Drosophila melanogaster: one gene and its partners. The protein of the gene in region 2 purifies or fractionates together with the protein of the main gene of each other region. This does not show direct contact. Each region holds a gene or a part of one and is shown on either strand. Other genes may lie near its edges. The genes, in order: Brr2, fand and CG31368.

Region 1 (12,108 bases), on a different chromosome or scaffold from region 2:
TCGTCGTCTGCACAAGGTTCTTCGTCCTTTCCTGTTGCGTCGCCTCAAAAAGGAGGTAGAGCACCAGCTGCCCGACAAGGTCGAGTACATCATCAAGTGCGACATGTCCGCGCTGCAACGCGTTCTCTACAAGCACATGCAGAGCAAGGGTGTCCTGCTCACCGATGGTTCCGAGAAGGGCAAGCACGGCAAGGGAGGCGCTAAGGCGCTGATGAACACGATCGTACAGCTGCGCAAGCTGTGCAACCATCCGTTTATGTTCCAGCACATAGAAGAGAAGTACTGCGATCACACTGGCGGCCACGGAGTTGTATCCGGTAAGTTTATCTTGTTAATTTTTTGGTATATTTATATTTACATTGGTATAATCTAATCTTTTTCAAATTAAAGGACCGGATCTGTATCGTGTCTCTGGCAAATTCGAGCTGCTTGATCGCATCCTGCCCAAGCTGAAGGCGACCAATCATCGCGTGCTGCTCTTCTGTCAGATGACCCAATGCATGACCATCATCGAAGACTACCTGGGATGGCGCCAATTCGGCTACCTTCGACTCGACGGTACCACGAAGGCCGAGGATCGTGGCGAACTACTGCGAAAATTCAACGCCAAAGGCTCGGATGTATTTGTCTTTTTGCTATCTACCCGAGCTGGTGGTTTGGGTCTTAATCTGCAGACCGCCGATACTGTAGTAATCTTCGACTCCGATTGGAATCCCCATCAGGATCTGCAAGCCCAGGATCGTGCCCATCGTATTGGTCAACGTAACGAGGTGCGCGTCCTGCGACTAATGACAGTCAACTCGGTGGAAGAGCGCATCTTGGCAGCAGCCAGGTACAAGCTGAACATGGACGAGAAGGTCATCCAGGCTGGTATGTTCGATCAGAAGTCAACGGGTAGCGAGCGACAGCAGTTCCTACAAACGATTCTGCACCAGGATGACAACGAAGAGGAGGAGGAAAATGAGGTGCCCGATGACGAAATGATCAACATGATGATCGCCCGCAGCGAGGAGGAGATTGAAATATTTAAGCGCATGGATGCTGAGCGCAAGAAGGAGGATGAGGAGATCCATCCGGGTAGGGAACGTCTGATCGATGAGTCCGAGCTACCCGACTGGTTGACAAAGGATGATGACGAAGTAGAGCGTTTCCACTATCAGTACGACGAGGATACCATTCTAGGTGAGTTACACTGCTCGCTGTTATTTAAACATTTTTCTTACGATAACTATTCCGCCTTAGGTCGAGGCTCCCGGCAGCGAAAGGAAGTAGACTACACCGATAGTTTGACTGAAAAGGAGTGGCTGAAAGCCATCGACGATGGCGCTGAGTTCGACGAGGAAGAGGAGGAAGACGATTCGAAGCGCAAGCGACGAAAGCGTAAGAATCGGAAGGAAGAGTCCGACGATGATTCGTTGATCCTAAAACGGCGACGACGCCAAAATCTGGACAAGCGGTCCAAGAAGCAGATGCACAAGATTATGAGTGCGGTTATCAAGCACAACCAAGATGGACGAACCCTGTCCGAACCGTTCATGAAGTTGCCTTCGCGGCAGAGGTTGCCCGACTACTACGAGATCATTAAGCGGCCAGTTGATATTAAGAAAATCCTGCAGCGCATTGAGGACTGCAAGTATGCCGATCTCAACGAGCTGGAGAAGGACTTTATGCAGCTATGCCAGAATGCACAGATCTACAACGAAGAGGCGTCTCTGATTTACCTGGACTCGATTGCCCTGCAAAAGGTATTCGTTGGGGCCAGGCAGAGGATAACAGCTGCAGCGGATGCAGCCGCAGTGGCAGCCGGAGATAACACGGGTGAAGCGCACGGCAATGGAGGTTCGGATAATTCGGACAACGACGACGACGATGGTGGCGATGACGGCTCCGACGACGAGGAGATTGCAACCACTTCAGCGGCGGCTGTCAAAATGAAGCTGAAACTGAACAAATCTCTGGCTAGTGCGCCCGCTACGCCCACGCAATCATCGTCGAATGTGAGCAGCGGAGCGGCTACCACATCCAAGAAGCAGACGCGTCGCAAGCGCTCCCAAAAGAAGTACACTATTTCAGACGATGACGACGATGACATGGACTAGCTACCGTTGGGAGTGATCTTCAAGCGCGGATCGTCGGATGTCGAAGGCATGGGCAATTGATTATTAATTAGTTTAAGTTTTACTTTCAAGGACGATGCTTACCAAAACCCTAGCCTACGGGTTTTTTTAACCATCTAACCTATCATGCTATCACTTTTATCTATACTAATTTTCTAGTTGTAGGTTCTCGATTAAGTTTCCTATTCAATTATTTTCGCACACACCATTTATTTCTCCCAATTCTATTGATTGTATAATTATGTGCTTTAAAATAAATGCATACCTAACATAAAGTAAATCGAAAAACTTGTCATTAATGGACGGCGGATTGCTCCTTGAGAGATTGTTCAACCTAGACCAGGCTGGAATTAGTAACAAAGATCTTATTTAAATCGGTACCTAAATGAATACATCGCTGCTAGCGTATAAAGGAAATGGTTTTAAATATATCAAAATGGGAAAATTATGATGTTTCGTTTAATTAATAAGTTGTATTTTAGGAAGTCTTACAGTAATTAAAATTAGCTTCAGCATTTCTACTTATTACATTTATAACTAAGCTCCTTCAAATAAATGCATACTTAAACATATTGATATGCTTGGTAAGACTAAAGCAGGTAGTGGAAGTACTCGTCGCACATCTCGTGGACACTAGCGGTGTGCTCCTCGTCGCCGCTATCACTGCTTCGCAACGTGATTTTGTGTGCATTGGCGTACAAGTCGTCCTCATCAACAGCCGCATCGTCGGTTTCTATTAATTGAAATTGCAAAAGTGATGTGGCAGAAATGATAGTGGACGTAACTTCGTGACCTCACCTCGGTACTTTTGTTTGCGCCTCAACCGTTGCTTGGAGCTTGAGAGCACTGCTTCGTCGCCCAGATCCAATTCGTTTTCGCGGGAGTTCCGGGAGTAACGAATTGGCGGTGCCAGGAACCAGTAGGATTGCATGATGCCTTTGAGACCCGGCATTTGACGCAGTTCGGCCAATTTGAGCGGCTGCCTGGACAATGCTTGGAAAGATCGCAGCTGCAGTGTGACTGGTTGCGAAGTGCAGTTGATCAGCCTAATTACGGACTTCGCGGCTGTGGAGCAGACCATGGGATATATTTTGACATCCGGATCCGTCGGGACATTGGTGTAGGCCACTCCCAGCGATCTGCGGTTCAAATAGAACTCCAAGTGCCCACGCGTTCGATCCAAACAGACACCAATCAAGCAGCCCTGCGAGAACTTCTGGCCGTAGGGCAGTAACTCGCCACAGTGCTGAATCCTTCCGGAATACGAAAAGCCCCAGGACTGGGCATTGGTGCCCAGGGCCGAGACAAAGTGAAACTTGAACTGCCCTAGATTAACGCTTTCCGTGCCGATGCCGAACATCTAGGAAAAGTTATAAGAAAAGAAAGGCAATTATAAAGAGAACATTATTTACATTGAACTTTAGCTGGCTTATCATCTAGTTGGGGTGTCTGCTGAGATTTCCTCCTCCCGCTGCGTCTGTTATCTTATCGCCGCGTTGTAATCTGTAATCCATAATACAACGAAGCGAACAATCAAGTCGTCTCCAATGGAAACGAGCACACCAGATGCCTGGTTAGTTGTGTTCTATTTTAAGGCGGCGACTTTGAGTGACATTCATCATGCTGAGCATCCCAACTAGTTGCCAAGCCGGCCTGATAACTAACCACATCCGTGCCGGCCAGAGTCGTGATGACGCGCATCTCCCAAAAGTGCACCATGTTTGTTTTTAGGGCCTGTTCCCCTCTCACAATCGCCGTGCCCTGACTGTAGGTGGGATGGAAGATGATGTCCCGGTCGGTGACCACGGCATCCGATTCATCAGTGGCGTGCCACCGCCAGGCATTCACGTTTCCGGACTCATCCTCGCCGCATTGGCACCTGACCAGGTCGGGTATATGGCCCTTGTGGTTGGTAACCTCAATGGAGTTGGGAAACGGGCAATCACAGAAGCCGGGATTGCAGGCTTCTTGGTACGGGGGCAGCAGCATGCTGGCACTTGTTCCTCTTCACTGGTTTACCTTCGATTGCTTTGTAATGAATTGTGTCAGCCGTGTACAATGATCTCGAGCAGTCGACGGACCACAAATGTTTCCAGTTAAACCAGCTGCAGCCTCATATATAAGCACATTACTCTGATCTGACTGAACAATAAACAAAACGATGCGTTGTAAATAGACGTCGGCATCGCTGCCGACGTCGCCGCCAGTGTGACCGAAGCCGCAGTTCGGAACTTAAAATATACTAGATATATCTCAATTATGAGAATTATGGTCAAATTTATAGCAATTTCTTTTGTGGATTGCTAGTGCGTAGGAAATTTTGGTGTTTACAAAAGCTAAAAAACCAGTATTCAAATTTTAAATAGAATGTTGATGGGCTACATTTTTAAAAACTTAGATGCGCGCGCTAACGATAGGTTTCCTACAAATGGCAGCCCTGATATCGATTTTCAGTTGGCTTCGCACATATGGCATCTCTTTAGCCTTTTGACAATCTGGCAGCACGCGTAGCCACAAACAGCGGCTTTTCACTACGATATTTCCGCAAAAAGTTGTAAAATAGGTTAATAAAAGTGCTTAATACTTATAAAAACAACTAAACAGACATGGCGGATGCCGCAGCACGTCAGCTGCAATACGAGTACAAGGCGGTAAGTGTCAAATCCCGCCCGGGAAAACTTCTCCCACTCCATGCGGCGTCTCACCAGAATTTCACAAACACGTTAAATGTATTTTCCATTTTTCAGAACTCCAATCTTGTGCTGCAAGCCGATGTCCGACTCATCGAACGTCCGCGCCGCGATGAGGCCACTGGCGAGGTGTGTTCCCTGGTGGGAAAGCTGGACGGAACAAGGATGGGAGATCGGTACCAGCGAACGAAGCCGGAGAAAACGGAGGAGCGCAAGGTGAAACGTCAGAAGCGCGACGAGGCCCAGTACGATTTCGAGCGGATGAAGGGAGCCACTCTGCTCTCCGAGGGCATTGACGAGATGGTGGGCATTGTGTATCGACCCAAGACCCAGGAAACTCGTCAGACCTACGAGGTCCTGCTCAGTTTCATCCAGGAGGCTCTGGGGGATCAGCCCAGGGATATCCTGTGCGGTGCCGCTGATGAGATTCTGGCTGTCCTCAAGAACGATCGTTTAAAGGATCGGGAGCGAAAGAAGGATATAGACAGCTTGCTGGGCGCAGTTACAGATGAGCGATTCGCTCTGCTGGTTAACCTGGGCAAAAAAATCACAGACTTTGGCAGCGATGCCGTGAATGCTTTGACTGCTGCTCCCAACAACGAGGAGCAGATCGATGAAACCTACGGCATCAATGTTCAGTTTGAGGAATCCGAAGAGGAGAGCGACAACGACATGTATGGCGAGATTCGCGACGATGATGCCCAGGATGAAGGAGAGGAGGCCCGCATTGATCACACACTGCATGCAGAGAATGTGAGTAATGTAGTTAAAATTGCGAATCCCATTTCTTATTCGTGTATCCCTTCCCAGCTAGCCAACGAGGAAGCCGCAAATAATGTAAAGAAAGAGCGCTCCTTGCATCCTCTGGACATAGATGCGTATTGGTTGCAGCGTTGTCTGAGCAAGTTCTACAAGGACGCCATGGTGTCGCAAAGCAAAGCCGCCGATGTGTTGAAGATCCTCAAAGATGCCGCCGACGATCGCGATTGCGAAAATCAATTGGTGCTTCTGCTGGGCTACGATTGCTTTGACTTCATTAAGCAATTGAAGCTTAACCGGCAGATGGTCCTGTACTGCACCATGCTCGCCTCGGCCCAAACGGACAGCGAGCGGCAAAGGATTCGCGAGAAGATGCGCGGAAATTCTGCGTTGGCCAAAATCCTTCGGCAATTGGATACGGGAAAGTCAGAGGATCAGGAGGAGGGCGAAGCACGGGGAAGCAAGCGTGGCAAAGGCGATGCAGAGGATGGTGGAGCGGCGGCTGCCGGGCAGGTGGCCGGTGTGCGACAGCTACTCGAGTTGGAAGAGATGGCATTCACTCAAGGATCTCACTTTATGGCCAACAAGCGCTGTCAGCTTCCCGACGGCTCCTACAGGAAACAACGAAAGGGCTACGAGGAGGTGCACGTGCCTGCACTGAAACCCGTGCCATTTGATGCCAATGAGGAACTTCAGCCTGTGGACAAGCTTCCGAAATATGTGCAGCCTGTGTTCGAGGGTTTCAAGACCCTTAATCGTATCCAAAGTCGTTTGTACAAGGCCGCACTGGACAGTGATGAGAATATGCTGCTGTGCGCCCCTACTGGAGCTGGTAAAACTAATGTGGCACTGCTAACCATGATGCGGGAGATTGGAAAGCACATCAACGAGGATGGCACCATCAATGCGCAGGATTTCAAAATCATTTACGTGGCTCCCATGAAATCGCTGGTGCAGGAAATGGTTGGCAATTTTGGACGACGTCTTGCTTGCTATAATCTGACGGTCTCTGAGTTGACTGGAGATCACCAGCTGACCAGGGAACAGATCGCCGCCACGCAGGTGATTGTGTGCACACCAGAGAAGTGGGATATCATCACTCGAAAGGGAGGCGAGCGTACCTTTGTGAGCTTAGTCCGGTTGGTTATCATCGATGAGATTCACTTGCTCCACGACGAGCGTGGTCCGGTGCTTGAGGCCCTGGTGGCGCGTACGATAAGGAATATTGAAACTACCCAGGAGGAGGTGCGATTGGTGGGCTTATCTGCCACACTGCCCAACTATCAGGACGTGGCCACCTTCCTACGCGTAAAGCCCGATAAAGGCCTCTTCTACTTTGATAACAGCTATCGGCCTGTGTCCCTGGAGCAGCAGTATATCGGTGTGACGGAGAAGAAGGCCCTAAAGCGATTCCAGGTGATGAACGAGATCGTTTATGAGAAGACCATGGAGCATGCTGGGCGTAATCAGGTCCTGGTCTTCGTACACTCGCGCAAGGAGACTGGAAAAACGGCCAGGGCTGTGAGGGACATGTGCCTGGAGCAGGATACCCTTGGTAGCTTTCTTAAGGAAGGATCAGCAAGCATGGAAGTGCTGCGGACTGAAGCCGAACAAGTAAAGAACACAGAGCTTAAGGAGTTATTGCCCTACGGCTTCGCCATTCATCATGCTGGAATGACCCGCGTCGATCGTACTTTGGTGGAAGATCTATTTGCTGATCGGCACATTCAAGTTTTGGTTTCCACCGCCACGCTAGCTTGGGGTGTCAATCTCCCTGCCCATACTGTAATCATCAAGGGCACGCAGGTATACAATCCGGAAAAAGGACGTTGGGTGGAGCTGAGTGCTTTGGATGTACTGCAGATGTTGGGTCGTGCTGGACGACCGCAGTATGATACCAAGGGTGAGGGTATTCTTATAACCAATCACAGTGAGTTGCAGTTCTATCTCTCCTTGCTCAACCAGCAGTTGCCGATTGAGTCCCAATTCATCTCCAAGCTTCCTGACATGCTCAATGCGGAGATTGTGCTAGGAACGGTCCAACATCTCCAGGATGCAGTTAACTGGTTGGGCTACACTTATCTGTACATTAGAATGCTGAGGAATCCCACGTTGTACGGAGTTTCCCATGATGCCATCAAGGCTGATCCTCTGTTGGAACAGCATCGTGCTGATCTCCTGCATACCGCAGCTTGCTGTCTGGAGAGAAGTGGCCTTATTAAATACGATCGGAAGACGGGACACTTTCAGGTTACTGATCTGGGACGCATTGCCTCTCACTATTACCTAACCCATGAAACCATGCTGACTTACAACCAGCTCCTTAAGCAAACTCTTAGTGAGATTGAGTTGTTCCGCGTATTCTCCCTATCCTCGGAATTCCGGCATATTTCCGTCCGAGAAGAGGAAAAGTTGGAGCTGCAGAAGCTCATGGAACGAGTGCCCATTCCCATTAAGGAGTCCATTGAAGAGCACAGTGCCAAGGTGAATGTTTTGCTGCAAGCCTATATCTCCCAGTTGAAACTGGAGGGCTTTGCATTGATGTCGGACATGGTGTTTATTACCCAATCCGCTGCCCGTTTAATGAGAGCCATTTTTGAGATTGTATTGACCCGCGGATGGGCTCAATTGGCGGACAAAACGTTGACGCTCTGCAAGATGATCGACAGAAGAATGTGGCAATCGATGACACCACTTAGGCAGTTCAAGAAGATGCCCGATGAGATTGCCAAGAAGCTGGAGAAAAAACACTTCCCCTGGGGCAGGCTTTACGATCTAGAGCCACATGAACTTGGTGAGCTGATTAGAGTGCCCAAGCTAGGAAAGACCATCCACAAGTTTGTGCACCAGTTCCCCAAATTGGAGCTCTCCACGCACATTCAACCCATAACAAGGGGAACTCTGAGAGTGGAACTAACAATTACACCGGATTTCCAATGGGATGAAAAGGTGCATGGCCAGTCGGAAGGTTTCTGGGTTTTAATTGAAGATGTCGACTCGGAACTCATTCTCCATCATGAGTTTTTCCTGCTGAAGCAGAAGTATTCCCAAGATGAGCACCAGCTTAAGTTCTTTGTGCCTGTCTTTGAACCTCTGCCACCGCAGTACTTCCTTCGCATTGTCTCAGATCGTTGGATAGGTGCAGAGACCCAATTACCAGTTTCTTTCCGACACTTGATTCTGCCCGAGAAGAATATGCCACCTACGGAGCTTTTGGATCTCCAACCGCTTCCTATTAGTGCACTCCGGCAGCCGAAGTTTGAATCCTTTTATTCGCAACGCTTCCCGCAATTCAATCCCATTCAGACACAGGTCTTCAACGCAGTCTACAATAGTGATGAGAATGTCTTTGTTGGAGCACCAACCGGATCCGGAAAGATGACTATTGCAGAGTTTGCCATCATGCGCTTGTTCACTACCCAATCCGATGCCCGATGTGTATATTTGGTCTCGGAGGAGGCATTGGCGGACTTAGTTTTTGCGGATTGGCATAGCAAATTTGGATCCCTGGACATAAAAGTGGTTAAATTGACCGGCGAAACTGGAACCGATCTTAAGCTCATAGCCAAGGGACAGCTGGTGATCACTACTGCGGATAAGTGGGATGTGTTGTCTCGCAGATGGAAACAGAGGAAGAACGTACAATTGGTGAACCTGTTCATTGTGGACGAACTGCAGTTGGTTGGTGGCGAAGAAGGTCCCGTTTTGGAAATTGTATGCTCCAGGATGCGATACATTAGCTCGCAGATTGAGAAACAGATCAGAATAGTGGCGTTGTCTGCATCGCTAACGGATGCCAGGGATGTCGCCCAGTGGCTGGGCTGTAATCCCAATGCCACTTTCAATTTCCACCCCAGCGTGCGTCCCATTCCGTTGGAGCTGCACATCCAGGGCTATAATGTCACTCACAACGCCACCAGAATTGCTACGATGTCCAAGCCTGTTTACAATGCCATCCTCAAGTACAGCGCCCACAAGCCGGTGATTGTGTTTGTCTCGTCCAGAAAGCAGGCCAGGCTCACTGCAATTGATGTTTTGACCTACGCAGCATCGGATTTGCAACCCAACCGTTTTTTCCATGCTGAGGAGGAGGACATCAAGCCGTTCCTCGAACGAATGACGGATAAAACTTTGAAGGAGACCCTAGCGCAAGGAGTGGCCTATCTCCATGAGGGCCTATCCGCCTCAGATCATCGCCTGGTGGAGCAGCTGTTTGACTCTGGCGCCGTGCAAGTAGCTGTTATCTCCAGAGACCTTTGCTGGGGCATGAGCATCTCCGCTCACTTGGTGATCATCATGGACACACAATTTTACAATGGCAAGAATCATTCGTATGAGGACTATCCCATTACAGACGTGCTGCAAATGATTGGTCGAGCCAATCGGCCGAACGAGGATGCGGATGCCAAATGCGTGCTGATGTGCCAGAGCAGCAAGAAGGACTTCTTTAAGAAATTCATCAACGAGCCGCTGCCCATCGAAAGTCATTTGGATCATAGAATGCATGATCACTTTAACGCCGAGGTGGTCACCAAGACAATTGAGAACAAACAGGATGCCGTTGATTATCTCACCTGGACGTTCCTCTACAGACGATTGACCCAAAATCCCAACTACTACAATCTGCAGGGTGTCACGCATCGCCATCTCTCCGACCATCTTTCGGAGTTGGTGGAGAATACGCTGAGCGATCTAGAACAGTCCAAGTGTATTAGCGTGGAGGATGATATGGACACGCTGCCACTCAATCTGGGCATGATTGCTGCCTACTATTACATCAACTACACAACTATCGGTATGAAGCATTAGATTTAAGTTTAGGCAATTGTCATCTTCATTTTCCTATCATTTTTTCCCAGAGCTCTTCAGTTTGTCCCTCAACAGCAAAACAAAAGTGCGGGGCCTGCTGGAAATTATTTCATCGGCAGCTGAGTACGAGGATGTTGTGGTCAGGCATCATGAGGAGCAGGTTCTGCGCACGCTGTCTCAGCGACTGCCCAACAAACTCACAGGACCCAATGAAACGGCTCCAAAGTAAGCAACCCATACATTTAGATCTTAAAAAGAATTTTACCAATGTTATTTTTAGATTCAATGATCCGCACATCAAGACCAATTTGCTGCTTCAGGCTCATCTTTCGCGATTGCAACTGGGACCTGAACTGCAAGGCGATACGGAGCAGATACTGAGCAAGGCCATCCGCCTCATTCAGGCCTGCGTAGATGTGCTGAGTTCAAATGGCTGGCTGTCGCCGGCTGTGGCTGCCATGGAGCTGGCTCAGATGGTCACGCAGGCCATGTGGAGCAAGGACTCGTACTTGAAACAGTTGCCGCACTTTAGTCCCGAGATTGTCAAGCGGTGCACAGAGAAGGTGAGAGTAACAACAAGTGAATCTCTAGGATTATCTCATGTTTCGTCGTATATTTCAGAAAATCGAAACCGTTTTCGATATCATGGAATTGGAGGACGAGGATCGCACTCGCCTGCTGCAGCTCTCCGATTTACAAATGGCCGATGTTGCTCGATTCTGCAACCGTTACCCCAACATTGAGCTGAACTATGAGGTGGTGGACAAGGATCGCATCAACTCAGGATCAACCGTTAATGTAGTGGTTCAACTGGAACGTGAGGATGAGGTCACTGGCCCAGTCATTGCTCCATTCTTCCCGCAGAAGCGCGAAGAAGGATGGTGGGTCGTCATAGGTGATCCCAAGACCAACTCCCTGCTCTCCATCAAACGGCTCACGCTGCAGCAAAAGGCAAAGGTCAAGCTGGACTTTGTGGCACCTAGTCCGGGCAAACACGACTACACTCTGTACTACATGAGCGATTCCTATTTGGGTTGTGATCAGGAGTACAAGTTTTCCATCGAAGTGGGTGACTTCCAGTCGGAAAGCGAAAGCGAGTCAGATTAGTTTTCTTTAGGATCATCAGTTGGGCATGTTTGCACAAATGAAAATCAATCATTTTACAATTTACGCGCATTAATTGTAGCAATAATAAATTCGTGTACTACTTTAGTAGAAACCAAATTGTACAAGGATACACTGAGGATAATTATATAAAGTAGTACAAAAAAAAAAAAAAACAAAATAAAAAAAACCTTTCAACTTTCTTTCGCTGGTTGATACCAAGAATCTAAATATTTTGTAGTCAACAGTGCCAATTCTTATATTGTCTTAAGCTTTTAAATTTCGTATGGAACAATTCAAGTTTGTTGTAATTTGTAATCTGGATCATCAAAATGCAACCGTTTAGATTTTAAAAAAATCATTCAAATTATTCATTCAAATTCAATTCAATCATAAATATTTATTTGGATTTTTTAGATATTTGCACATAGGATTGCTGACAAATAGATTAACTTGGAGGTATTTTCCCTGTATGGTGAACTTGGCTTTTAGCGGCTGACAGAAACTGCCGATCCATGGCTACTGCCACGATTGGCTCCTCCATTAGCGAAGCTGTTCGTGGAGCTAAAGTTTATTGTCTGTCCATTGGGAAGATGGTAAACCTGACTCAGCGAAGCACCTGCCGCATT
Region 2 (9,637 bases):
GTTTGAATATTTTGGTAGGTTCCCTTATAGTCGATCTAATATAACATTTATAATATTATATAAACTTATGGTAAGAATCTTTACAGTTGCCTCTTCATACAGCTAATTTGATTACAACTTCTAGCAACTGCTTAACAAAATGCTGATTAGAAACCATAATAAGCTAAGATAGTTCACTGATATGACAAACATGAATTGTGCATTGATTACTCACCGTTCCCTCAGCGGCAATAGCTTGCTGCCCGCTCCGCCGGCCACGCCACCGCCGCTGCCCAGATTGGACACCTTGAGCGGTATCTTGACGCTGTCCGAATCGCTGCCACTCTCGGCACCCGATCCTCCGCTGCCGGCGGCGCAACTTCGTGCCTGCCGCTGTTGCTGCTGCAACTTGTGCTGCTGCTGCTGCTGCTGTTGGAGCTTATTGCCCATATTGCCATTGCCCGGTGCCTGGTGGTTATGACGACCCGACGAGGTCGGGCGCTTTATGTTGCGTCTCTCGGCCGGCACAATGCTGCTGCGATTGTGATCGGCGGCCGGCAGGACGTTCATCAGGTATTGACCCATATTTTCAGTTTCACTAAAATGCCCGTCCCCATCGCTGGCACCGGTGGTGCAGTCCTCCAGTCCCAATCCCAGCCCGATGCCGCCATCGATGCCCATGTGGACATCGGCGCTGCAGAGGAGCGGCGAACAGAGGGCGCCATTCTGGTGTTGCTGCTGCTGCTGATGCTGCTGCTGATGTTGCTGCTGCTGCTGCTGCTGTTGGGTGTGTTGCTGTTGTTGCTGTTGCTGCTGCTGCTGCGTGTGATGCCGCTTCTGGTGGTTGTGGTGCGTCGCCGAGTGGCTGCGCTGATGGTGGTGCTGCTGATAGTGCGGATGAAAGCCCCCCGAGCCGAGTCCCAGCGAGGATGGGTTCTTATTCTGGTTGCAGAGCAGGCTGCTGCCGAATGTTGCGCCGAATTTGGTGTCCCGATGGGTGCCATCTAACGAGATATTCGATAGGAACGAGATCGCAGCCAGTCTGCGCCTGTGTCTCGTCTTGTTGAGCGAACTTGCCATTAGGCGATGAACCCTTAATTACCAAGCGAGATTAACCGAAGTGGGTGCTGTGGGTCGTTTCCCTGGATGCTCCGATGTTGCTATATATGTACCTATATGTATATATAGTGTGTTTGTGTGTGTGTGCATATACTGTGTGGGAATGTGATGTTGCACTTTTCTGGAACACTCTTCGCGATTCTTTACGAAAAAACTGGTTTCGAAAGTGATTATGCTGCTGTTGTGTATTTTCACTGCTGGTTGCTCACTTTTCTTGATCGAATCAATTAAGTTTTTTAGTCTCTAACTTGGCAGCCGAATTAAAAAACAAACTACTTGAACGCGACATGGTGACGAATTTTTAGCACTTTAGATGACGGAAGATGGTTGGAATACGAATAATTTTATGCACTTTTATTATTAACTAGCGTTTATGCGTCGATGCGTTGCTTTGGCTGCAAGTAGAAATAAGAACAGAAGAGAGGAATGGAATCAATAAATGAGACTATAAAAAGCGGCAGGAAAGCTGCTTTTGGCCAAGAGAAGCTTTCTCCGAGCGTTTCTGGAATATTCGTTGAAGTGCAGTGGGTGGCTTAGGGGAAATTGTGGTCAGCACATTCTCATTCTCAGTGGGCAAAATATTGAATATGATATAATATTGTTAGCAGAAGTCATCTCAATATGATATTTTATAATTAGCAATGTTTTTAAGCTATTTTTAAGTGAATATGCTATGGTTTTTTCAACTCTTTTAGATTATTTACAATTTTTAGACATAATAATCATTTTAAAAAATCTCATTTGAAAACAACGGGCATTTTTAATTTTAAGAATTAAAAGTTTTCCTTGAAATAAACCCGAATCTTTGCTGGGATTTTAGCCAACTGAATTGATAAAGCTTTTCCGCTGGCAGTTAAAAAAGCTGCATGCGGCTCAAAGCTGCAGTGGTTTTAGCCGCCTTTGTTGTTGCTGTTGTTGCTGGCGGGCGGCTTAGTGTGTCAGTTTAGTGGGTGGCAACAGTGCGAAGAGAGGGGGTGGCAAAGAGAGAGATATTGGGCCACAGCCGGCAAGGAAAATCTAAGCGCTTTTCCGCACTTTCGTGTGTGTTTTCTGTTTACATTCAATACGGGAGGCCCTAAAATGCCCAAAATTTTCCCTCGGGCAACAAGAGCGAGTGGAAAATTTTTGAGAACCATCATAAACAGCTGTTCGGGAAGCGGGGAAATAGATTTTCCGGTGGTGGTTTTTTTTTACCTAGGATCCAGTCTAATTGGATTTACCTGGACCAATTGGAGTGCGGCGGCACACACAAGTTTGAGCCTGTGCGAAAAATATAAAATCAATGCAGGAACAAGTGTGTGCGAAAATATTTATGACACCCACCCACTCACACGCTCGCACACACACACTTGCAAGCACACGCACACGTGTGACGTGTTTTTTCGTGTTTTCCCCTCGTCTTTTACTTACCACTGTGCTTGGTTTTTCCACGGTCGTTGGGTATTACTTAAAACTTAATTCGATTGATAGTCGTTCTATGCTGAGAAATGTTTCAAGCGCGTCATTTTGATCTATTTTTATAGTGTTTTTTTCGATAGACTTTGATTTTTTGCCTTTGGCTGCCAACTCGCCTGCGCTCCTCACTCTCTTTGGCTCTCTTTTGCACGGCTGTGTGTGTGTGTGTGTGTGTTGGTGCACTCACGCAGTTGCCTTCGTTGCGTAAATTATGCAAAATGCAGGCCAATTGCAATGTGTTTACAAAAACAGAACAAACGATCGCGTTAAGTGTGTTTTTTGCGATTTTACGAGCGCGTTAACTGGTCTCTGCGAAATACGCAAACGGTATGAACGTCAAAATATTGGCAGCAGCGACGAAAACATCTGCAGATGGGCTTACGAAAAATTCACAAACTGAGGCCAGTGTTGGGCAGCGGACGAAGGGCGAAATACCAATTCAAAGGGAGGCAAAATATACCGCAATGGTACTCTAGAAAATTCACGATTGTTTTGGTTTGTCCATAACTTCAACGTTTAAATAAGGTGCACTTAGAAAATTCTAGATGTTCACAATTTGTAAAAAAAATGTACACAAGCCAAAGTTATCTTAGTTTTATGAACAATTTTTCTGTATTCTTAAAATATTGTTTACATGTTAATTAGGATTTAATTACTTTGGTATTAGCTGCGGTATCTTAATACCACTACTTTTCAAACCTTCTGGCAACGCCATTTCGATCAGCTGTTTTCGTGGGACGCGCATGAGAAAATTATTGTTTGCGGCATTTCATGAAAATCGCGAAAAATGGTGACAAAAACGATAAAATCTCTGAATTTAGAGATCAATTTCGTAAGTACCATGAAATATATGTAAATCACAACTAACCTATCAAGTTTTTCACACACAGGAAGTGGAGGATGTGCCGTATGAGGAGGAAATCCTTCGAAACGCCTACTCCGTAAAACATTGGCTGCGCTACATTGATCACAAAGCGAAGGCGCCGAATAATGGTGTTAACATGGTCTATGAGCGTGCTCTGAAAGAGCTTCCTGGCAGCTATAAGATCTGGCACAATTACCTGAGAACTCGCAGGAAGCAGGTGCGCGGCAAGATACCCACGGATCCCATGTACGAGGAGGTCAACAGTGCCTTCGAACGTGCACTGGTGTTTATGCACAAAATGCCACGTATCTGGATGGACTACGGTGCCTTCATGACCTCGCAATGCAAGATTACCCGCACCCGGCACGTTTTCGATCGGGCTCTAAGGGCTCTGCCCATCACGCAGCACGGCAGGATTTGGCCACTGTATTTGCAGTTTGTACGCCGCTTTGAAATGCCGGAAACAGCACTGCGAGTCTACCGTCGATATCTGAAACTCTTTCCCGAGGACACAGAGGAATATGTGGACTACCTACAGGAAGCAGATCGGCTGGACGAAGCTGCCCAGCAGCTGGCGCACATCGTCGACAACGAGCACTTCGTTTCCAAACACGGCAAGTCCAATCATCAGCTGTGGAACGAATTGTGCGACCTCATCTCGAAGAATCCACACAAGGTGCACTCCTTGAACGTGGACGCCATCATTCGCGGTGGGCTGCGTCGCTACACCGATCAGCTGGGCCACCTGTGGAACTCTCTGGCGGATTACTATGTGCGTTCCGGCTTATTTGATCGGGCAAGAGATATATACGAGGAAGCCATTCAAACTGTGACCACCGTAAGAGACTTCACCCAAGTCTTTGATGAATACGCACAGTTCGAGGAACTCTCGCTGAACAGACGTATGGAGCAGGTAGCTGCCAATGAGGCGGCCACCGAGGAGGACGACATTGACGTTGAACTGCGGCTCTCACGCTTCGAATACCTCATGGAGCGCCGTTTGCTGCTGTTGAATAGTGTGCTTCTGCGCCAGAATCCGCACAACGTGCACGAGTGGCACAAGCGGGTGACACTGTACGAGGACAAGCCCGCCGAGATCATCAGTACGTACACCGAGGCCGTGCAAACAGTGCAGCCGAAGCAGGCGGTCGGCAAACTACACACTCTCTGGGTGGAGTTCGCCAAGTTCTACGAGGCCAACGGACAGGTGGAGGATGCTCGTGTGGTCTTCGAACGCGGCACTGAGGTTGAGTATGTTAAAGTAGAGGATCTGGCGGCGGTGTGGTGCGAATGGGCAGAGATGGAGTTACGGCAACAGCAGTTCGAGGCGGCACTCAAGCTGATGCAAAGGGCGACGGCCATGCCAAAGCGAAAGATTGCCTATTATGATGATACGGAAACGGTGCAGGCGCGCCTTCATCGCTCGCTAAAAGTGTGGTCCATGTACGCGGATTTGGAGGAGTCATTCGGCACATTCAAGACGTGCAAAGCCGTCTACGAGCGGATTATTGATCTGAAAATCTGTACGCCACAGATCATTATCAATTACGGAATGTTCCTCGAGGAGCACAACTACTTTGAGGAAGCCTACCGAGCCTATGAGAAGGGCATCTCTCTGTTCAAGTGGCCCAATGTCTACGACATTTGGAACTCTTATCTAACCAAATTTTTGGAGCGCTATGGCGGCACAAAACTGGAGCGAGCCAGAGATCTCTTCGAACAGTGCCTGGATCAGTGTCCTCCCGAGCATGCTAAGTACTTTTATTTACTGTATGCTAAGTTGGAAGAGGAGCACGGTCTCGCCCGGCATGCCATGTCGGTCTATGATCGTGCCACGTCTGCTGTCAAAGAAGATGAGATGTTCGACATGTACAACATATTTATAAAGAAGGCAGCCGAGATCTATGGCCTGCCACGTACCCGCGAGATCTATGAGAAGGCCATCGAATCGCTGCCCGAGCAGAATATGCGCCACATGTGCGTTAAGTTTGCTGAGTTGGAAACGAAGTTGGGCGAAGTGGATCGAGCTAGAGCCATCTATGCTCATTGCTCACAGGTATGATAATATATATAGATTTCTAATGCATCACTTAATCTAATTATTGTTTGCATTCTTCAGGTTTGTGATCCCCGCATCACTGCAGACTTTTGGCAAACTTGGAAGGAGTTCGAAGTGCGTCACGGCAACGAAGACACAATGCGCGAAATGCTGCGCATCAAGCGCTCTGTGCAGGCCACTTACAATACGCAGGTGAACATGATGGCCGCCCAATTCCTGAGCACAAACAACGGAGCGGCTGCGGATGCTGGAGCAGGAGCTGGACCGGATGCCATGCGATTGCTGGAGGAGAAAGCTCGCCAGGCGGCAGCCGAGTCCAAACAGAAGCCCATCGAGAAGGCGGCCTCGAATATTATGTTTGTGCGCGGTGAGACTCAGGGTGGTGCTAAGGATAAAAAGGATACGGTCGTCAATCCTGATGAGATCGACATTGGAGACAGCGACGAGGACGATGAGGAGGAGGACGACGATGAGGAGAACGAGATGACGAACGAGAATCAGGCCAGTGCAGCGGTCACGAAAACCGACGAGGAAGGCCTGGTCATGAAGAAACTGCGCTTCGAACAAAAGGCCATTCCAGCCAAGGTCTTCGGCAGCCTCAAGCCCTCAAATCAAGGCGACTCTGATGGAGAGTAAATGTTTATACATATATATGACTTTTTTCGGGGTAAATACATGTATGTCGAAAGTTTTACAATTGTAATTGATCGGTTTTTATGTTCTGGCCTCAATTAGATTCTTAAATGGTACTTTGATATTAATTGTTGTCAAACGAAGGGGGCCTGTTAGATATTGTCTCCGTTTTGGATGATCTAGTTAGTATAGCCTTAGGCCAAACAGAGGAACACACTTTCAACTGTCATTCCAAAATTGTTAGGCACTTCGTGATCTAAAAAAGCTAACCAGACGTGCGCAAGGGCGGACTAACCAGGACTAACCACACACCGTGTATCTCGAAGATGGCATCCACACGCATGATCAGTGCTTTTACGCGCAATCCAAGATTATATCAACAGGTCACGGCACCCTGGAAATCGTACAATCTGTTTGGAACACCACTTTTTAACCACAGACTTCAGCCAGCGGATTCTCAAATCTGGAGGGGATTAGCAGACAAGTGTGACAACAAGACTGTTATCAAGGGCGTGGTGGTGGGCGTCTACTCCAAGGAGGGCGACGGTAAGGAGGTCAAGATGACGTCCAGCGGCGAGAAGTTCGACGACCGAACTCAGGGCAAGGTCTCGGAGCTGTTGCGCGAAACTGGAATCAAGGGGGAACTGGGCAAGGGTAAGGTCTTCATGAACGTGGATGCCGAATTCCGGGCAGTGGCTGTGGTGGGTTTGGGCCAAGAAGGTGCCGGCTTCAATGACCTGGAGAATATCGACGAGGGTATGGAGAATGCCCGCGTTGCCGCTGGCGTCGGAGCTCGGGCATTGCAACTGCAGGGTTGCACGGAAGTCTTTGTGGACTCCATGGAATATCCGGAGCAGGCGGCGGAGGGCAGTGCTCTGGCCATCTGGCGTTACAATAGCAACAAGCGCAAGCAGGATCGCACTCAGGTACCCAAACTGGATCTGTACGACTCACCGGATGTGGATGCCTGGACGAGGGGTCTCTTCAAGGCGGAATCTCAGAACTTGGCTCGAAGATTGAGCGATTCGCCGGCTAATCAGATGACCCCCACCATATTCGCCCAATCGGCGGTGGATGCCCTGTGTCCGTGCGGCGTTTCCGTGGAGGTGCGATCCATGGATTGGATAGAAATGAATCATCTCAATTCGTTTCTAATGATAGCCAAAGGCAGCTGCGAGCCACCGGTGGTCCTGGAGGTCAGCTACTGCGGCACAGCACCCGAGGATCGGCCCATTCTGCTGTTGGGCAAGGGTTTGACCTACAACAGTGGCGGATTGTGCCTGCGGCCAAAGGATTGCCTGCATATGTACCGCGGCTGCATGGCGGGAGCAGCCGTTTGTGTGGCCGCCGTTCGAGCTGCGGCAGCCCTTTCCCTGCCTGTAAACATCACGGCCGTACTGCCGCTCTGCGAGAATATGCCATCGGGAATGGCTGTAAAGCCGGGTGATGTGGTCACCCTGCTCAATGGCAAGACGATGGGTATTGTGGATGTGAGCAAAGCTGGAACGGTGGTATTGGCTGATCCCCTGCTCTTTGCCCAGACGACGTACAAGCCTCGTCTGGTGGTGGACTTGGCCACCGTTGGCTATGGCGTCTGTGCTGGCCTTGGAGAATCGGCTGCCGGATTGTTTACCAATTCCAATTTCATAGCCAAGCAGTTCGAGAAGGCTGGCGGCCTGACTGGAGATCGTTTATGGAGGCTGCCCTTGTGGCGCTACTTCAAGCAGCTGGTAACCCCGAATCTCACCTTCGACATCAGCAATAGGGGCATTGGTCCCGCCTCCAGTTGCATTGCTGCCGCCGTGCTGCACGAACTGGTTCCATGCGCGGATTGGGCCCACATTGATATCCGGAATGTGGGCATGCTGACACGCCACAATCCGCTGCCGTATCTGCTCAAGGATCGGATGACCGGCCGACCCACCCGCACCATCGTACAGTTCCTGTATCAGATGGCCTGTCCGGAAAGCAAGTAGTCTCCGGATCTGGATCGTCCGCACCTGTGGCGCTAGTTACCACCATTGCTCGTTCTATTTTACATTTGTTACGTGTCCCGTTTTTGGTGTTTGTTCTTTTCACAATATTGTCTCCATGTCCAAATTTTTGGTTTAGTGTTCCGTGAGCAGCTGGGTAACGACACATTGAAGACAGTTTTACGGACAAATGGACCAGCTCAGTTATTAATGGTGGAAGCAGTTCGACTGGCTTCTATGGATCGTCTCCCAGCTGCACAAAATTAAATGATTTTAAAGTGCAACATTTATGGTTACTTCTAATTTATTTAATAATCGTATAATCTCATTGCATAATCTCGTTATTCTAGTGGAGGGTATAGATCTGTCTGTCCGTATAAAAGGACAGTGATCACATTGTAGTAAATTATTTAAGTTTTTTTTAAGCATTATAATTATAAAAGCTTGACCCCTCCACACATCAAATGCTACTTACTTCAGTTAATTGAGCGAGAATGCGAAATGGGAGCGCAGGGAAAGTGTTTTATATAAACTTGACAGCCCACTCCACGCCAATCTTGCTTTTGGCCCTTTTTCTTGTTGTTGCAGCACTGTTACGAGGGCGGCTTATTAGCCTAATTGCGTGAAGTTGGCTTTAATGAGTCGCAAAAGGGGCCAAGCCTGGCCCACAAAAGGCCACAAAGCAAAAGGCGCCTTCTGTTTGTTGCTGCTGCTGTCCTGTTGTGGCTTTGAATTTATGACACGGCTTTAATGGGTTAACTGGGTTAATGCTCATGCCTCAGCTCATCAACTATCACCCCCCTCCCCCCTCACCAACGTTCCATGGCTCGAATTTTTGACAATTAAGCCGACATTTGCGTTCCCAGCTAGAATTCCTCGAGGATTCGGGAAAGATAAGGGAGGATGCTACTTGAAGGATCCCCTTGGCAGCTAAAAGTGCGAAGAGCGCGAAAATCTTAATACGGCGACATTTTGCACAAGTCATTAGGCCATGCAAAGTGATAATTTTTGAACCATTTTAGCACTTTTCAATTTGGGCTACACTACACTGCATAGGGTCGTAGGGAATATTTGCATATTATATTAATTAGTTAGTAATAAGAAAAAACTTGTTAATGAGCATTACATATACATATATGCTTGTTACTAAAAAGTAGAAAAGAACTAAATATATCTGATGAAATATAACCAGTTTAATAACCTTATAAAATCCATATAGATTTGTAGGTGTGCTCAAGCTGATGCTCAATAATTGACAAGATCATGTTTCAATTACTTAAGAAAATCTTCAGCATAAATGGAATTCTGTGAAAATTGAACGACTTTGCCACCTCAGAATAGGGAATCTGCGCCATCGACTTTTCTTTAAGCGCTTAACATTTGCCCTCCGCACTTAATGCCAGCTAACTGATAAAACTCGGGGACTTCCCCTTTTTGGAGTTGGAGTGCAGCCAAATGAATTCGCTAATGAGCAATCAGGCTTGAAAATATGCAAGTCGAAGGTGGTCGGGGGTGGGGCACTTTAAAGAGTCTTCCCCGACCATTAACCCTCGA
Region 3 (9,559 bases), on a different chromosome or scaffold from region 2:
TGATACGTCATCATTTTGGGCAAGACCACTCACACAGTTGCACCATTTAAGTTTGGCTATGTGTGCGAGAGAGGTAGTGCTAATTAGACCAGCCAGGTGAGCGGAAAGCGGAAGTCCTTGCCGTTGGAATGGGGGGACTTTCCCTAAAACCCAATACATGCGTGTGTGTTCAATACAAATCTGTGTTGAAGGTTAGCTGAAGGGTGTTGCGGACTAACATTTAACTAAGGGAAGTCTTTAAAGAAGACTTCTTATCTTCCCTTCCATTTCAGAGTTTGTGGAGGTGCGAGAGGACAAGTGTGATGACAGGCCACGCGTCAATAGGGCATTGCACACAGCTGCATCTTATCGCACCGCATCATCAAGCCTCATCCTGGTGCAGGAAGCGAGGGGAGGGGGAGCACTAGAGTGCGCTGGAGGAGCAAACAAAGCCGTCGCACACTCATACGGGCAGACATTGCCGGTTCCTGCTTCACTCGCACGGACTACTTGCTCCAATTGATAATTTCCGTCGCTCAATTTAAAAAAAGAGAGCACGGTGATGGAAAGAGGGCGCGAATTCAAAGCCTTGCTTCCACATTTTATACCCTCGATGGATCAAAGGGTATTATACAACGCTACTTTTGAGTATATAGATCTGTTTGCGTGCAATCTGTTTCAAATGCAATAAGTGAGTAACTTGAAATTGAAATAGCATTTAGTCATATAGAAACCGTAGTAAGCCTACATAAATGTCTAAGTACATTCCCTACTATGTCTTCTTCTACATTTGATAGCATGCCTTAAAAAAGTATTAAATCGGAAAATAAATAAGAACGGTATTATATGTGGGTTTAAATTCCTTCAGGCAGGGCAGTGAATAGTCGGTGCACTCGGGTACAACGCTCAGTCTGGTTTTCAATGCGAGAGAGGGAGCTCTTTGGTGGGGGTTGAGCGCTGCTCTCGCAACTCTCCACTCTCTCGCCGCCTTAGTGACTCGATATTAAGAGCCGGGGACAGAGAGTCATTCGCTTTTTGTCGTCGCTTCGAATCGGTTGATGTTGCTTCTTCAATTTTTATTTCGTTTTGAATACTGTTTAAAGAGGAAGTAAAGCGCGCATTGTTTATTAACCGAATACGAGTCTGAAACCCAGACGAAAGTGCCTTTGTGGGTGTGTTGATACAAAAAAAAGTGTCGCCTTACTTGAGTTCTGGCATGCAAGTCATGATCTTGGCTCACAGCCGGCACCTTGATGACGCATTTCTTAGCAAGCGCAGATCCACATAAACACCAACGACAACTGCCTTTTACCTGTGTATTGTATTTGTATCTGTGTCTGTGTTACTAAGCAAAAGATGCTCGTAAAAACGCTTGGCGCGCATTTTGCAGCCGGGCAAAATGCAAAAAAATGCAGCTGCTGCGCTCTGCTGATTTCCCTGCTCTGCGTATTACTTCTTAGTCTAAACCCTTTACCAGTAACCAGTCATGTCACTAGCGCCGGATCATCAACAGCCCTATCTTCCGATCCCAACCTAGTGCTGGTCAACAAATGTTGCGAGAAGTTCGAGATACACGTGGACCATGAGTGTCAGCAGGTCAATGAAACGGGTAAGTTCAACAGCTGGCCAGGCGGAAAACTCCTAGTCGCTCGAAAAAGTTGCCATAACAACCACAACGAAGTTGGTTGGCCATTCAACTTTATGGATTTTCCCTTCTGGCATGCAACATATGTATGCCCAACATTAAATGGCCCATTTGTTGGCTATCAGTGGATCAGTGGAACGAAGCCAACAGCTAAATATCCCCAACTCCACAGTTCGCACTCCCCCAAGAAAGTTCTTAAAACAAACAGAGGGTGGCCCCAATCCTGATGAGAAATATGATTTATGCTGTGGGGCATGTTTCTGTTTAAACTATAAAGTAGCCACTTGATGAGGGATTCCCAAATCGGGAATATTATCTCTTGGAAGTAAAATGAGGCAAAAAATCCATTAGTAAGGTAATATAAGATGCTTCTGTTCCCCATAAATGCGAGCCCTGGTAATTAATGTTTGTGGAGCTAATGGTGAATATAGTGATATATTGCCTTGGGTGAATGTTTGACAAACAATCGCAACAATTGTGGGAAATAGAAAAGCGTACTCTAGCATCTATATCGATATTCTAGCTCGGACAACTAAAACTGGATAAAACATTTATGACCATGGATCGGCCATATAGGTGACACATAAAAATGTAACTATTACTGATAGTTGAATCATTGCATTGTACTGATCTCATCCGATTTTAATTGTAGTCATTTGAGTAATCCCAATACTACAATACAACAGGGCACATAATCGCAACATGCAATCTAATTTCCGTGTGCTTAGCTATGATTAACATATGAATGGCTGAGTGGAAAAAAATGTATCCGAACTCCGATAATTGAAGAAGAACCAATCTGCACAAATTGCAAAACCAGCTGATGAAGGCGCATGGAACAGCTCAAGTTCTTTGCCCAGAAGCGTAAATATTTATATTCGCAGAGAGAAAAGAAAATCTGGCTCCCCTCTGATCCACCAGCCGCAACAAAAGCAGCGTTAACTTGAACTGCCTTTATGATTTTCCACGGTCTGTGTTCTCTATTTATCGTCCGTTTCCATTTGCAGACTACTTCCAGCCGATGTTCACCAGCTATGGAGGAGAGCAAAACAGGCCCGTTAAGTTCAAATTCGTCATCGGGATTCCAAATTGTGGATCCATGCAGATGTGGCCAATATACCACTATGCTGGCGTGAGTTTGAAGTTCTTTGCATAGAAACTTTTAGATACTTATAGATATTTTTATATTTTCTAGAGCTCTGATAAGCTAGTGTTACTGGATGATGGGAGGCTAAGGCATTACACCAATGCCGAAAACGAAGCAGAGGAGCGTCATGGAATACAATCGGATTATGAGGAGGATATTGCCGGCAGTCTGGAACCGCTATACCATGACTACGATAAGGGATTGTATTGCATTGACAAGGTAAGAGTAGCTAAAGTCCACATAAATTGCATGGATGATCATAAAATCCATTCGCAGGCCACTTCCAGTACTGGAGAGGAAAATGTGCTATTCGCCAACATTTGCTTGGCCCGCAAGGAGATCAAGTGGAGTGACTCAAACTTTCTGCTCCGCAAAATCTTAAACCCAATTTTCCATGGCATCTCGCTTGTTATCCTGCTGGTCATCGCCATCATCTATTTTATACTTCCTACTCTCAGGTGAGCAATAGTTTGAATTTGACTTGCTTCATGCGTTAATTTTCAATCCATTCAGCAGAGATCTGGTTGGTAACATTGTGACAACGATAGCCATGTGCCTTATGGTAAGCCAGGCAGCAGACCTTGTCAGAATTTTCACCGAGCTGACCAGCCATGTGAGCTTCATTGTGGCGGACATTATCCTGTGCTTCAGCCTCTTGGCAGCTTTCTTCTGGCTGAACAGTTTCGGTTTTTACATTTGGAAGACCTTTCGTTCGAGGAACGTCTTCCTGCGAGTCACGGACGGCAGGAAGTACTGCTATTATTCTGCGTATGCTTGGGGATGCACAGCAACGATGGCTGCACTGGCTGTCTTCGCACATTTCTTCCTCGACGCCGAATCCTACAAACAGGAGCACATGGTGGGCGAGCAAGAGACGATCGGCTGGCTAGGCATATGCATATTCTTTGCTCCAATTGCTTGTACCATTTTGGTAAACATATTCTTCTATGTGACCACCAGGAAGTTGATTAACCGCAGGACGGTATACGGCCGCATTGCGCACAAATTGAAAGCCAAGTAAGTAGATCGGCATCTAGGCATTACATATAAGTATATGAAAACATTATCTTCCTTGCAGTTTTATCATGTTCTCGCTGATGCTGTTAGTAATGTCTATAGCCTGGCTATTCCTCATAATGTCCTGGTTGCAGATGGAAGGCCTGCTTTACGCCCACATCGTAGTTAACGCCCTGCAGACGCCGCTGTTGCTATACATATGCGTGCTGCGCCAGCGACATGTGACATTTCTGCTGAAAAAGACCTGCTGCTACAATGAGCCACCGTCGGCAAACGACTGGGGCGATGAGCTGCATTATATGAACGGCAACGATTACTGAGGAGCCACCGTCCACACTAATATAAGTGTTTTCGTAGTTTAGCAATGTCCAACATTGAGATTTGTACTTAATTTTAACTAATTTATGCTGTACGAGATAGTTATTAAATGAGAAGTCTGACACCTACCTGACCAAACAGTTTTCCCTCCTCGCGACGAACCAAGGGTGACAGAAGAGCCCGCACAATCAGATGACAGTCGTCTAAAACCGTGTTGAAGAAGCGTCGAGTCGGCAAAAGTGCCTCCAAGTCGATAATAAACTCTAGGAAGCGCTCACAGTAGTGAACCACGTTGCGCGGCACCTCGCCTTCGGCGGGAATGCTTTCGAGTATGTGCAGGAAGTCAATGATAAGGTTCTGCATAAAGTGTCTCTCCCAGAGGACCTCCGGTTTGCTGTCTTTCTCCTTCTTGAGCAAGCGTTTCCAGTACTTTCGCCACTCAGGAACTTCTCGAAGCTCTTGTTCGCGACGGCCTGCAAGCAAATACATTTTTGATCACTTTGATAGATGTGAAGAGTTGCGAAGAAGAACTTACGAGGCTGCAGGCAATGCCACATGGACAAGGAGACTAGTCGTTTGGCCTGTTCTCTGCACAGCTCTATCTCCATGCTGTTAAAGCAGTGGTTAATGAACATCAACAGCGCTGTCCGCTCCCTTAGCGTGCTACTAGCCTCCTTTGCCTTTTTGCTCGGCAAACAGCTCTCTAGCACGTGGCGAAAGAAGGCTGGATACTGATCCGGGAGCTTTTCAAACACGGTCCAAACTTCGACGCGCTCCCGGAACTTCTCGTTGGCCATTATAACGATGGACATAAGGTGGGCATGGGTGGCGGTTTCACGTTGGTAGTGTGGCCACAGGTACTGCTCCAGATACTGACTGAACTCCAGCATGTTTATCCTCCGTGCACTGTGGCCACCGCCATCACCGATCTCCTCATTGTAAATGCGTTCGATGATCTTGGCACTGTACGGCAGGTGATCTGCTTTCGTGTCCGGCGTCCAGTACTGCGATGCCAGCTGTAAATAGGTTATCCAGATCTATAATTTACACTTCGATTTTGTCCAGCGGAGCACCCACCTGCCAAATAACATCGGAGCTGAGCTGGGACACTGTGAGCGATCCACTATTCTCCTTTGTAGTTTTAGCTGGTGGAACGGCTTGTTCGGCTCTAGTTTGACTTCTTCGCTTCATGTTGATCTTGTTAAATTGCACAAAAACGAAAATAAACACAAAAATCTGCAGCAAAACAAACGCTGCCGGTTGCTAGTGTGACCGTTGTAGGGCCGACAAAATATACCAAATTTTTTATTCCGAAATACTCTGTTCCCACCTCAACCCGTACCATCTGCAAAACGAATAACCAATCCGTTTCTAAATTAAAATGCAAGAAATAATATTTTATTAATTATTCAGAATTTGATTAATTACCGCTATCGAATTTCACTAAAATTTTAATGTAATTATTATAAAAACTTCACGTATTCTTTGCCGATGTCGCAGCCCTATGGAATGATACCATTTTTCGCAGGTCCGGCAACACGACGAAAGGTTTTTGTTTACAGCACGCCGGCAAGAGTTTTTATGATTTAAAGTGATATTTATTTGTAATTTAAGACAATTTTGACGCACACGAACTCACCATGTCGCAGACCATGCCGCCAGAAAACCTAAGCGTAAGTTGCGAGCATCGAGGTAATACAAATTGCGCTCTAATATCTTTCCATTCCAGAGCCGCCTGTTGACGGTGCTCAGTTTGCCTCTATTCGAGCGCGTGCACGAGCTGAGCATCCTGTTCGATCGGTGCTCCTTGCGCCAAGTGCAGGAGATCTTCCCCCACGTTGTGCACTCCATCTTCGGGATAGATGGCAATCCGTTGGGCTGGGGCCTGCGGACCACGACGCTTGAAAACAATCCGGTGCAATTCCAAACGCTGCACCAGTTCTTCGGCGTCTGTGGTCCCCTGATGCATGTTTGCCACCGTCTGCTCGTCGACCAGTACAAATTCGAACTAGACATCAATCTGCTGCCGGTAAGTGGATTAAATAGGGGTATTTATGGCTCACTCTAATTCCCTTCGTTTCAGGCGAAATTCGTTAGCCTGCTGCAGAATGGTCAGAATCCTAGTTTCTATGCAGAACTCATCAATGTGGAGACGATGATGCACCAGGTGTCCACGCTCTCGCTCAACGCCTTCGACTTCTATGTGATTCACTTTGTGCTATATGCCCTGCAGCCACTACACTCTATCAATCCCATAGCCATGCAAATCCACAATGTGCGCAGCAAAACGGTCTACTTGAAACTGGTGGCCGAGTACCTTAACAACTTCCTGCCGCTGCTTCCCGATGCACGCATAGAACCGGTGCACTTTAGCAGCGGGGTTAAGGCGCCACAGCCATTGCCAGCCCAAGCATTACAGCCCCAAAGACAACCGCGCTACATTAAGATTCCCAGCTCCTATCGCAATGGTGGAAACGTGTCGGGCGGCGGTGGCATTCCCAGTGCAAGCGTTGGCGTCGGGAACATATCACCACAGTCCAACAGCCCAAGTGCCAGCTCCAACCGGGCTTACGCATGGCGATCTGAAAGTGTACTCCACTTTTTCGTAGACATCTGGCTGCGTTACGACATCGAGTCGGAGCATCATTTGCCCAGCAGCGATTTTGTGCGCGGCGTACGCACCTTGGTCAAGCAGGTGCACTTTTTTGCAAATGGCGCTCAGCACGACCACAGTTCGCTGTGCGCGCTGCGTAAGGTATCGTTGAGTATGGTTAAGGCAAGAATCTACGCCTTTATTGTTGGTTTGATCGATCGTTGGCCTCTGGACAGCTCGTTGATGGTGGTGCTGGAGCTTTGGCTCAGTTACATTCAGCCATGGAGATACACCATAGCGTCGCTGAACAATAAAACGTAAGATTAAACTTGATAAATTGAAACACTAAAGACCACTAATACATTTCTTTTCAGACCTAGTCTTTCCTACAGGCCGCCCATTTCGTCCTGCTTCGATGGCTTTATTATCGACAACCTTATTATGTACACTCACATATTTATGCAGCTACTGCCACACTTTGGGCGGTTGGACTACACTGTGTATAGGAACGCATTTATGCTGTACCGTCTGGCCACAATCTTCTCTCAACATGATTTAGTAGATAAACTTCAGCGTTTTGAGGCTATACATGCAGGCAATTCTTTTGGCTTTGACTCGCCACAGCGCCAAGTCAACATAATGAAGTGGGTTGAGACTATTTAGTTAAATAACTTCTCATTTTAAAATAATCCTGTTTCGTTTAGCAAATCCGTTTCTCCAGGCACTCCGTGGAATCAAGCTGTTAACATAAGCTCCGCCAAACTTTTTAGTTATACTATGCAAACGCAAATGGAAACCTTCTTGTTGCTAATCAGTATGGCCCGCAACTCGGTGCTCAGAGACATCGCCAAGCTACGAAATGAAATTGCGGAGAGACAGCGGTCTGAAGGATTTCTTAAGAACTTTTATAAGAAGATCTTTGGCGAGTGCACCCAGGAAGAAGTGACCCTGCGCGAGTTCAGTCGCATTCCGGAGGTTTTGCGTCAATGCATCGACGCATTCTGTCGAACGTTTAATGTGAGTTTACTGTTCGTTTTTGGTTAACATAAAATTTAAATATTTGAATATCTAAACAGGTTGATCAAGCGAATCTATCTATGCATGAAACTCTGCCAGAGGAACCATCTGTGCCTTCTGCGCCTGCTGTGCAAAATTTCAGCTTTTTCGACGCCAGCGACACTTTGGACACCTCAAAGCTGAACCCGCACCAAATGTCGCTCAATGCTTCTAGCCTGCATGCCGCTGTCGATCCCGCCACGCTGCCCATCCAAACCAATGAAGTTAGAGCATTGGTAAGAATGCTGCATTTCGTTTCGGAAAAGATTAACAATAAGGTAAGTTTCTTTAAAATGGCCTCTTTGTTTTTCCCTGATAACATTTTTTATCCAGTATGGTAGTCAATTACAAGGATTCTACGTCCGCGACGATTACTTCGGAAAAGTGGCCCGGCAACTGTTGTACGCTCCGATGACGGAACAGTGGTTTGACAAAAGCTCCGGCCACGTTGAAATATGTGAAAATCTGGTTCCTCCGCGAGTTTGCCTACGACCATTGGGCTCTATACCCGCTCTCACAACGATCGGTTGTTCGATGATCTTTGGACAACTGGTGTGGGGTGCCCCACTCCTGGGAATATTTATTCTGGCGACTGTGCTATTAGTCTATATCATGCTGCAGGCATTGTTTTCCTAGTTTGAAATTTTTAACTAGATAGATTACTAAATATGTGACATTTATATATTTATATAAAACTAAAGAGACTACGATTACAATTACGATTAGTGTTAGTTCTATGATTATGTTTATGCGTGTATGACTGTATCACTCGGTTCGCGGCCGAAGGGCTAAACGCAAAGTCCGATCGGGCACGGTGACCATGCGGAGTACGCTGTCAACGGGCATCTCGTTAAGGCAGCTCATCTCAAACTGAGCAGCACATCGGCCCAGCAGGGAGTGGAGCTGCTTGAGTGCCACACGGCGACCAATGCAAGACCGCTGGCCGATGGCAAAAGGCAGACTGCCGTGTGACTTATGCACCTGCTCCGTCTCTCCAATGCACCAGCGCTCCGGGAGCACACGTTCCGGCTGCTCAAAGTGTGATGGATCGCGACCTGCCGTGTACAAGGAGAGCAGCACCATGGTCTGAAAAAAGGCAAACATGAGCGATGAGGCACTCAAAGAAATTTCTTTCACTCACATCCTTTTCGATAAAGTGACCGCCAAGTTGCGCGTCCTGCGGCAGATATCGGCCAATGAAGGGAGCTACGGGGTACAGACGCAGGGACTCCTTGATCAGGCCGTGCATCAGGCGAGAATCATTGGTAGCTCGCTCCTTGGCCAGTCGTTGCTGGAGCCTCGGCTCCTTTGAAAGGGCAAACAAAGCCCACTGACTGCTGAATGCGGTCTAAATGAGGTGTAACTACAATTAGTAATGGGCTTTGCAATTCAATTGGATTGCTCACCGTGTCACCTGCTGCAATGACCAAGTCTACAAATATCCGCTTGATCATATCGCCTGGCACATCCGCCGCCTGGAGGCGATGGTAAAGCGCCTCATCGTGCGGTCTCCTTTGGTCCTCCTGCACTCTGATGCAGTGATCGATTATGGCAGCTCCCTCACGCAGCACCTCATCCACATTGGCCTCGAAATCCCGCCAGATGGGCAGGCGCAAAATCTGGGCCAAGCGAGGCGGGAATGTCATCAGTCGCGAGCTATGCTCAAACACCTTGTGCACAATCTGCGTGAAGTAGTCCAGCGAGGACTGGATCTTGGGGCAGGTGAGCACGCTGGTGCCAAACATGATGCAGCACAGAACTACAAGTGGATAGAGTTGGGATGAAATCATTTTGTATGGGGATC

What was found.
Region 1: the proteins of fand (region 2) and Brr2 purify together in Drosophila melanogaster (affinity purification with mass spectrometry, with the first as the bait; one large-scale study listed by BioGRID). This does not show direct contact.
Region 3: the proteins of fand (region 2) and CG31368 purify together in Drosophila melanogaster (affinity purification with mass spectrometry, with the first as the bait; one large-scale study listed by BioGRID). This does not show direct contact.

What each region holds. Positions count from the first base shown.
Region 1 is NT_037436.4:15,960,368-15,972,475, reverse strand, and holds Brr2 (Brr2 U5 snRNP complex subunit), read left to right. Parts: upstream 1-4,603; 5' UTR 4,604-4,723; coding exon 4,724-4,768; intron 4,769-4,864; coding exon 4,865-5,560; intron 5,561-5,617; coding exon 5,618-10,361; intron 10,362-10,425; coding exon 10,426-10,600; intron 10,601-10,655; coding exon 10,656-10,938; intron 10,939-10,996; coding exon 10,997-11,482; 3' UTR 11,483-11,640; downstream 11,641-12,108. Other genes in the region: brm (brahma), read left to right, coding at 1-317, 391-1,182, 1,243-2,099; CG10516 (uncharacterized protein), read right to left, coding at 2,708-2,850, 2,916-3,477, 3,783-4,106; CG17032 (uncharacterized protein), read right to left, coding at 11,968-12,108. UniProt on the Drosophila melanogaster protein: Catalyzes the ATP-dependent unwinding of U4/U6 RNA duplices, an essential step in the assembly of a catalytically active spliceosome. Plays a role in pre-mRNA splicing.
Region 2 is NT_033778.4:13,590,386-13,600,022, forward strand, and holds fand (fandango), read left to right. Parts: upstream 1-3,258; 5' UTR 3,259-3,340; coding exon 3,341-3,385; intron 3,386-3,443; coding exon 3,444-5,474; intron 5,475-5,537; coding exon 5,538-6,113; 3' UTR 6,114-6,172; downstream 6,173-9,637. Other genes in the region: CG6191 (uncharacterized protein), read right to left, coding at 215-1,059; CG45088 (uncharacterized protein), read right to left, coding at 1,322-1,387; S-Lap5 (Sperm-Leucylaminopeptidase 5), read left to right, coding at 6,437-8,086. UniProt on the Drosophila melanogaster protein: Subunit of the NTC(Nineteen)/Prp19 complex, which is part of the spliceosome. The complex participates in spliceosome assembly, its remodeling and is required for efficient spliceosome activation. Essential for efficient pre-mRNA splicing.
Region 3 is NT_033777.3:11,878,612-11,888,170, reverse strand, and holds the start of CG31368 (uncharacterized protein), read right to left. Parts: upstream 5,382-9,559; 5' UTR 5,298-5,381; coding exon 5,184-5,297; intron 5,123-5,183; coding exon 4,642-5,122; intron 4,580-4,641; coding exon 4,236-4,579; intron 4,234-4,235; exon of another isoform or gene 4,109-4,233; coding exon of another isoform or gene 3,850-4,108; intron 3,789-3,849; coding exon of another isoform or gene 3,285-3,788; intron 3,230-3,284; coding exon of another isoform or gene 3,048-3,229; intron 2,991-3,047; coding exon of another isoform or gene 2,820-2,990; intron 2,757-2,819; coding exon of another isoform or gene 2,632-2,756; intron 1,589-2,631; coding exon of another isoform or gene 1,336-1,588; exon of another isoform or gene 1,003-1,335; intron 1-1,002. Other genes in the region: mthl5 (methuselah-like 5), read left to right, coding at 1,336-1,588, 2,632-2,756, 2,820-2,990, 3,048-3,229, 3,285-3,788, 3,850-4,108; CG6962 (uncharacterized protein), read left to right, coding at 5,747-5,779, 5,836-6,135, 6,190-7,016, 7,074-7,343, 7,404-7,716, 7,776-8,033, 8,089-8,391; sad (shadow), read right to left, coding at 8,521-8,841, 8,897-9,103, 9,162-9,514.